2 linked regions of the Macaca fascicularis genome follow. The protein of the gene in region 1 interacts with the protein of each later gene in a biochemical or structural test. Links are inferred from orthologs where the notes say so. Each region holds a gene or a part of one and is shown on either strand. Other genes may lie near its edges.

What was found. The genes of interacting proteins can lie anywhere in the genome.
Region 2: of the proteins of RNF8 (region 1) and histone H2B type 1-B, one has a biochemical effect on the other in vitro, tested with the Homo sapiens proteins (2 studies listed by BioGRID). The link is inferred for Macaca fascicularis from reciprocal best matches to the Homo sapiens genes RNF8 and H2BC3.

The regions. Positions count from the first base shown.
Region 1 is NC_088378.1:134,283,863-134,287,608, reverse strand, and holds part of RNF8 (E3 ubiquitin-protein ligase RNF8), read left to right. Parts: intron 1-1,610; coding exon 1,611-2,348; intron 2,349-3,746. UniProt on the Homo sapiens protein: E3 ubiquitin-protein ligase that plays a key role in DNA damage signaling via 2 distinct roles: by mediating the 'Lys-63'-linked ubiquitination of histones H2A and H2AX and promoting the recruitment of DNA repair proteins at double-strand breaks (DSBs) sites, and by catalyzing 'Lys-48'-linked ubiquitination to remove target proteins from DNA damage sites.
Region 2 is NC_088378.1:146,884,673-146,889,022, reverse strand, and holds the start of histone H2B type 1-B, read right to left. Parts: upstream 2,917-4,350; 5' UTR 2,864-2,916; coding exon 2,487-2,863; intron 1-2,486. UniProt on the Homo sapiens protein: Core component of nucleosome. Nucleosomes wrap and compact DNA into chromatin, limiting DNA accessibility to the cellular machineries which require DNA as a template.

The sequences.
Region 1 (3,746 bases):
CTTTGTTTCAAGTCTATTTTAGGACCTGTCATCTCCATTTAGCATCCCTTAGCTCTCCCAGCTGCACATGATATTCCTTTGCATTTATAGGCTATGCCATTTAATCCCACATTTACTTATTTGTGCCCTTGTGTTGTCTTTTCCACAGTCAGCTGCTGAAAGTTTTCATGTCTTTTCACTCAATATATTTACCTTGCATGACATTGAGCATAGAATTGAAATGATTGTTGATGAATCAGTTGAACCAAGGCATAGTAATAGTAGTGAACACTTATGTAACACGATGCCCAGGCACTGTCTAAATAATTGCCATATGTTATCTCATTAAATCCGCACAGACACCATAAGGGGAGACTTATTTTCCTCCATTTTATTGATGCAGTAACTGGACCATAAAGAGGTCAAGAAACCCGGCCAAAATCACCCAGCTGCTAAGTGATAGAGCCACATTACAAACCCAGGCAGTCTCACTCCAGGATCTGTGCTCTTAACCTCGATACTATGACTTCTTTAAAACCATAAAAGTTTATTTTATTTTATTTATTTTGGAGACAGAGTCTCGCCCTGTCACCCAGACTGGAGTGCAGTGACACAATCTCGGCTCACAGCAACCTCCGCCTCCTGGGTTCTAGCAATTCTAATGCCTTGGCCTCCCAAGTAGCTGGGATTACAGGCATCTACCACCACACCTGGCTAATTTTTGTATTTTTAGTAGAGAGGGGGTTTCACTGTGTTGGCCAGGGTGGTCTTGAACTCCTGGCCTCAAGTAATCCACACACCTCGGCCTCTCAAAGTGCTGAGATTACAGATGTAAGCCACCACTCCCAGACAGTAAATATTTATTAAGCATTTATTCTATGTGAGTCATTGTGCTAAGTGATTCACATGCATTATCTTATTCATTCCTCACAGAAACAGTATGAGGTAGGTACTGTACTATCCCTATTCTGCAGACAAAACAGGCATGGAGAGGTTAAGTGAATTGTCAAATGCCATGCGGACTATGAACCCGCATCTGAGTCCAGAGCTCCAGCTCTTAACCATTATCCTGTATTGCCCATATATCCCTGTTGGTATTAATTGGCTCAGATCCTATCTGCCATTTGACCCCAGTACCGGATTTAGTACTCTCTTTTTTTTTTATTTATGTGTGCGTGCTTGTTTACCAGTGTGTTAAGGAACCACATCCAGAGATAGCATTTGAACCTACTTCATGGACCTCATCCTTAACTACTGCTTTCTTCACTAATAATATTTTTTCTAGTTTTGGGACGTTGCTCCAGTTTAGGTCAATAGGAGCTAGCCAATTTCAGTTTCCTTTAATGCTATTCCATGTGTTTGAGTAAATTATCCACCAATAATAAGGTGATTCCTGCCTGTTAATATGGCAGTTCTCTGTGGACGCATGAATGTGAAATATAGGTAAAAAGCCAAAGCACTGCTTAACGAATGCTGTTTCTAGGGATGGTAGTTTATGAACCTTTCTTTTCTATTTGTTATCAAGAGTTTTCCTTCTGAAAAGGCAGAAGGTTTTACAGCAGCAGGAGAGAGGTTCCATTAAGAAGACGAAAATCACGAAGCTTATTTCTTCTGTCTTTCACTTTCCCCAGAGTCTAAATGGTGTTTGGCTGAACAGAGCACGTCTGGAACCTTTAAGGGTCTATTCCATTCATCAGGGAGACTACATCCAACTTGGAGTGCCTCTGGAAAATAAGGAGAATGCAGAGTATGAATATGAAGTTACTGAAGAAGACTGGGAGACAATATATCCTTGTCTTTCCCCAAAGAATGACCAGATGATAGAAAAAAATAAGGAATTGAGAACTAAAAGGAAATTCAGTTTGGATCAATTAGGAGGTCCTGGAGCTGAAGGCCCCTCAAATTTGAAATCCAAAATAAATAAAGTGTCTTGTGAATCTAGTCAGTCAGTGAAATCACAGGGGAAAGGTGAAGTGGCCAGTACACCCTCTGAAAATTTGGATCCTAAGTTGACTGCCCTTGAGCCAAGTACGAAGACCACAGGGGCTCCCATTTACCCTGGCTTCCCCATAGTCACAGAGGTTCATCATGAGCAGAAAGCCTCAAACTCTTCAGCATCTCAGAGAAGCTTACAGATGTTTAAGGTGACCATGTCCAGGATTCTGAGGCTGAAAATACAGATGCAAGAAAAACATGAAGCCGTTATGAATGTGAAAAAGCAGACCCAAAAGGGGAACTCAAAGAAAATTGTGCGAATGGAGCAGGAACTGCAGGACTTACAGTCCCAGCTGTGTGCAGAGCAGGCGCAGCAGCAGGCAAGAGTGGAGCAACTAGAGAAGACTTTCCAGGAAGAGGAACAGCATCTTCAGGTACCACACAGAAGGGAAGGGCAAGAGTGGTCTTCAGGAGTGGGGCGGGCACTTCATGAGCCTCTGGCCAGAGTTCTCAGTTTCTGGGCCAGGTACCAAATTCTGAGCACCAAAGACAAGAAATGGAATGGGAACAGTAAACTTTTGAGATCAGGGAAGGGAACTGAGTAGAGGGTTAAGGCGTCAGCATGCTGATGAGATCAAGAGCCAGAGATGGGGTGCCAAGATAGGGTAAAGTGACCAGCAGAGCCAGCCAGGACATAACTCATCTCAGGATGCAAAGCTGAGGCAACTCAGAACCAACATGAATTCAGGGGGAAGTTAGGTGAAGGTCAAGATGCCGCAAAACCACAGTATAGTCCAATTAAATCATTAGTTGTCTTCAAGACTTACGTATCTTTGCTCTGTGGCCAAGGCCAAATCACTTAGTCCCAGGGCAGGTACAGGTCAGCTGGTTCCTCTGCCCTTGTACCTGACAGTTTGTTAGCTATAAAGGTTAGTTAACTCTGTAGCTAACCCAGGAGGTGAGAGGCTAAAAAGGCAGAAAATGTTTTTGTTTCTGTTTTGAGCAGCCAGCATGTGATGGGACAGATGCACCATGACTGCATTGTTGGGTTGAATGATAAACCACCTTCCACAGTGCTTATAGTAGGAAGGTAAAATAATGACTATCTTAGCTTTGTAAAGGTAAGACCAAATGTGTTTCCATCCCTGAGTCATTTGCTTCAATGACAAACTCTTGCACAAAGCTTTAGGCTAGAGCAGATCCTGTCCTTGCTCAAAATGTCATTTCCTATCTGGCAGGAACCACACATTTTACTCCCACCCAGTTGCTCAGATAATATTGAATGTCAAGAATTCCCTATTGTTGACTTAGAACTCACACGGACCAGTCACAACTAAAGTGAATAAACTTTTTTGTTTGGGTTGGTCAGGGTAAGGAACAACCAGAGGTAGTGTTGGCTTATTTCTGAGCAATTTATAAATTTCATTCTAATCTCTGCCATCCCCTTGAACTGGTAGTATTAGCAAAAGCCATGGATTAAATAGGTCTTTTGAGAGTATACACTGCTTCCTTACATGTACCTTTTTGCTTCCCTTATCCAGCCTAGACTAGTTCTTGAAATTAGTAGAGGGTGGTTTATGTCTACGTGTTTAGTATATCACACCTTCACTAGGACAGAACTCTCTGTAAAGGCTAATATGTTCACGAACAAGTTACTGTTGATTAATATTTGTGGCTGCTCTGGACATGCCTCAAGGTATAGCTGCAAAATCTTTTTTTTGAACCAAAATGTTAAAGGCAAAAGGATCAGTTTGGATAATTTCTCTGGGTATGAGTAGGTCGTGTACATATTGCTCATAGTGAAGTGTATCTAGTCCCTTGTTTATCAGCTG
Region 2 (4,350 bases), about 13 Mb from region 1:
ACCCTGACCCTACAGCTACCTTTGGATAAGTGTTGGAGTTCTGTAACAAAGGAAGAAAGCAGGCAGGCAAAAAATTTATGAAAGAACATATGACAAAATAATATCTGCTTCAAAACTTAATATTTTTAAATTTTTTTTTTAATGAGTCAGGCTGTTTTTTTGGGGGGGTGTGTCTCATTCTGTCACTCAGGTTGTCACGGCGCGATCTTGGCTTGCTGCAACCTCTACCTCCCAGGCTCAAGTAATCCTCCCACCTCAGCCTCTCTAGTAACTGGAACTATAGGCATATGCCACAACGCCCAGCTAATTTTTTGTAGAGACTGGATTTCGCCATGTTGCCCAGGCTGGTCTCGAATTGTGAGCTCAAGTGGTCTGCCTGACTAAGTCTCCCAAAGTGCTGAGATTACAGGCATGATGCACCTGGCCCAAAAGTTCATTTTGCAAATGCTTATATTAGCAGGTCTCACTTCTCCGGGGAAAGATCCTAAATATCAGTTTCTTAAACTGCAGCCTCAATTGCTTAGTAATGTTTTGGGGGAGGTGGTCGTTTTATAATTTTAAAAAAAATTATAGATTTTTTAAAACACAAGCGTCTCTTTCACAACGGTAGTTTGCATATACAGTACTAGGATGGGAAGTGCTTCACTTACAGTTGTTCACTGACATTTTGTGTGGCATCCAGATTTTTTTTTTATTTTTGAGACAGGGTCTGTCCTCACCCAGGCTGGAGTGCAGTGGTGTCATCACAGCTTACTGCAACCTCCACCTTCCAGGCTCAAATGATCCTCCCACTTCAACCTCCCCAGTAGTTGGGACTACAGAAATGTGCCACCAGGCCTGGTTAATTTTTAAATTTTTGGTGGAGACAGACTCACTAAGTTGCCCAGACTGGTCTTGAGCTCCTAGGCTCAAGTGATCCTCCCACCTTGGCCTCCCAAAGTGCTGGTATTACAGGCGTGAGCTGCACCACACCCGGCCCAGAACCTCTTTTAAAATATTCTTAAAAATTAAATCTGGGCCGGGCGCGGTGACTCATTCCTACGATCTCAGCACTTTGGGAGGCCAAGGCGGGAGGATCACTTGAGCCCAGGAGTTCACTTGACCAGCCTGGGCAAGATAGTAAGACCCTTTGCCTCCACAAAAAATTAAAAAATTAACTGGGTGTGGTGGCGCATTTCTGTAGTCCCAGGTACTCAAGGGGCTGAAGTTAGAGGATAGCTTGAGCTGGAGAAGTCGAGGCTGCAGTGAGCTATGATGGCACCTGGCCAACAGAGCAAGACCATTTCTCAAAACAGAAACAATAACTGTTTGAGAAACTTTATTTCTTCATCCGAAGACACTGCTGAATGTCACCTACATATAATGCCCGTAAGTTCACTTAAAATACTCCCCTCCGATTCCCCCATCCCCTCCTACTTAGTGTGCAATCAACAGGTTCTTTTCTTCTTCCATTTCTTCCCCCAGCCCCAGACCAAGAATTGGCCCATTAAGTCCTCCTCAACTAGTACCCTTCCTGCCTTTTTCTAGCTATATTGTTTTTGGCGTCCCGGATTTCTTGAAAAATGCTTCCCTCTCCAAGTGGGGCCTTCCTAGTATCTTTGCAGTAGGGCCAGTTGGGGAAAGGCACAAAATTCAAACCCTTTTGTATCTCGCAGAGCTGGAAATCCGAATTTTAAGTGGCCTAGGAAATGGGAATCTGGATTTCTGGGATGCATGAAATATGTAAACTACATAGCTGTTGTCATTGATAAACAATTATAACGCAAAACTACTGCGATTTCATTTTGTGGAACGGGAAATATTCCCTACAAAGGCGCCCGGGAAATCAGACTTCGCTTACTGTTTCCTCAATACTGGAGGAAATCTTTCCTTCTTACTGGAGGTAAGAATTTACAGCATAGGCAAACTGCAGGAGCAAATATCCCTACACGCCCTTTTGTCGCTTAGACTTTTCTGCTCCCCTCCCCCTCATCTCAAGCGGTTAACGGCTAATGACCCCCATAGAAACACTGTACCCTGAATTGCATTACTTGTTTCATTATCCAGAAAGGAAAGTTTCCTGTGCTAGACCAGGGAGGGAGTAGTGACCATATCAAATGAATTACAACTAGTACCCGAAGGCTTACCCAGGGGGAACAAAGAAGTTTGCTAAAGGCAGATGAGAAAGAGCGCCAGCACCCTCCTAACGTTTGTATTTTTAATAGAGACCATGTTGGCCGGGCTAGTCTCGAACTCCTGACGTCAAGTGATCCGCCCGCCTCGGCCTCCCAAAATGCTGGGATTAAAGGCGACAGCCACGGCGCGCTGCCCCAAGTTAACCTTGGCTCTAAAAGTTGCCTTCGCTAACATTCTAGTTGATCCTCTAGAACTGAAGCAGAACAGAGGCAGCACCACCTTAAGAAATTGTGGTTATAGCTCTCTTTGCGACAAAGTAGGTGGCTCTGAAAAGAGCCTTTGGGTTTGGAGGTGCTTACATAAGCACTTACTTGGAGCTAGTGTACTTGGTAACAGCCTTGGTGCCCTCGGACACAGCATGCTTAGCCAGTTCCCCGGGCAGCAGCAGGCGCACAGCCGTCTGGATCTCCCTGGAGGTGATGGTCGAGCGCTTGTTGTAGTGCGCCAGGCGGGAAGCTTCGCCCGCGATGCGCTCGAAGATGTCATTGACAAAGGAGTTCATGATCCCCATGGCCTTGGAGGAGATGCCGGTGTCGGGGTGGACCTGCTTCAGAACCTTGTACACATAGATGGAATAGCTCTCCTTTCGGCTGCGCTTACGCTTCTTACCATCCTTCTTCTGCGCCTTAGTGATGGCCTTCTTAGAGCCCTTTTTAGGGGCAGGAGCAGACTTAGAGGGTTCAGGCATCGCTATTCCTAAAACAAAACAAAAAAGCTACTAACACTCTCCAGCAGAGTAGTAGAGAGAACAGTTCAGAGCCCACGTATTTATAGTCCTGAGATTCAAATGACGGTTTAAGATTCCTCACTTCTGATTGGATAAAAGAAATACAGTTTCACTGAGGGGTGGGGTTTATGCAAATATGGAATTTATGGACTCTTTTTCTATTGGATAAAGCAGGAAACATAATTGACCAATAGGATAACTCTCTATTGCAGCCTTGCAGTTTGTATAAAAGTATTTCTTCAGGCGCCATTCCATCTTGCTTGTTTTTTACAGTTTTCAGAGGTCGCTGTGTTTGGACATGGAAAACGGAAGTAAAGCACAAAGTTGTTCATCGGTACCAGCCTTGCAGTTTCTAGTAGCGCAGGGTCCATCGTCTTTTTCGAAAGGGCAATTATTCTGAGCCTGTCGAAGCCGGCGCGCCGCTGTACTTAGAATACCTGGCCGCCGATATCCTGGAGCTGACACGCAGCGCCATACGTGACAAGACCCATAGCATCCCCCGCCACTTGCAGCTGGCCTTCCGCAACGACGAGCAGCTCAACAAGCTGCTGGGCAAAGTCACTATTACTCAGGGAGGCGTCCTGGCCAATATTCAGGCCGTCCTGTTGCAAAAATAACCGAGAACCACGATAAGGCCAAAAGCAAGTAAAGCCCACTCAAGCCAGAAAACGTACCTTAAACTTGCTACGGCATTTTTCAGAACCGTCCATTGTTTCACAAGAAAGGATGGTAACTTGCTTGTGTTTCGGGTACCTTTTGGTTTTGGTTTGGATTGGTTTGAGACAGAGTTTCGCTCTGTCACCCAAGCTGGAATGCCGCCGCGCGATATCGGCTCACTGCAACCTCCACCCCGCGGCTTCACCAGGTTCTCATGCCTCAGCCTCCTTTGTACCTGGGATTACAGGCGTCTGCTACCACGCCTAGCCAATTTTTGTATTTTTATTCGAGACGGGGTTTTCACCATTTTAGCTAGGGTTGTCTTGAACTCCTGGCCTCAAGTGATCCTCCCATCTTGCCCTCCCAAAATGCTGGGATTACAGGCGTGAGCCACGGCCCCCCTAGCCTAATGGTGTTTAAAAATTAAGTTTCGAGGAAATATCTTCTTTAAGAAACTACATTTTAGAGTATACAAAGTGAAACTAAAGCCAACCAAAATAAGACAGTTTGAGAACAGTCAGGGTGGGAATGTGACTTGGACTTAGAAAACGAAGGATAAGGAAACTGGCTGTTGACCAGTAACAAAATAGCATGGAATTCTCATTCTCTGAATGTAAGTAGTTTCCGACATGAGGCAGTCAACGTTTCTGGTGGTTTAGTGAGTGTTCACCAGCACTGATAACTTTCAAGACTGTCAGGAATGCAGAATTTCAAGTCCCACGCAAACTTACTGAATCGGAATTTACATTAAAAAAATCCGTAGATGCTTTGTTATGTACCTTGTTCTTTGG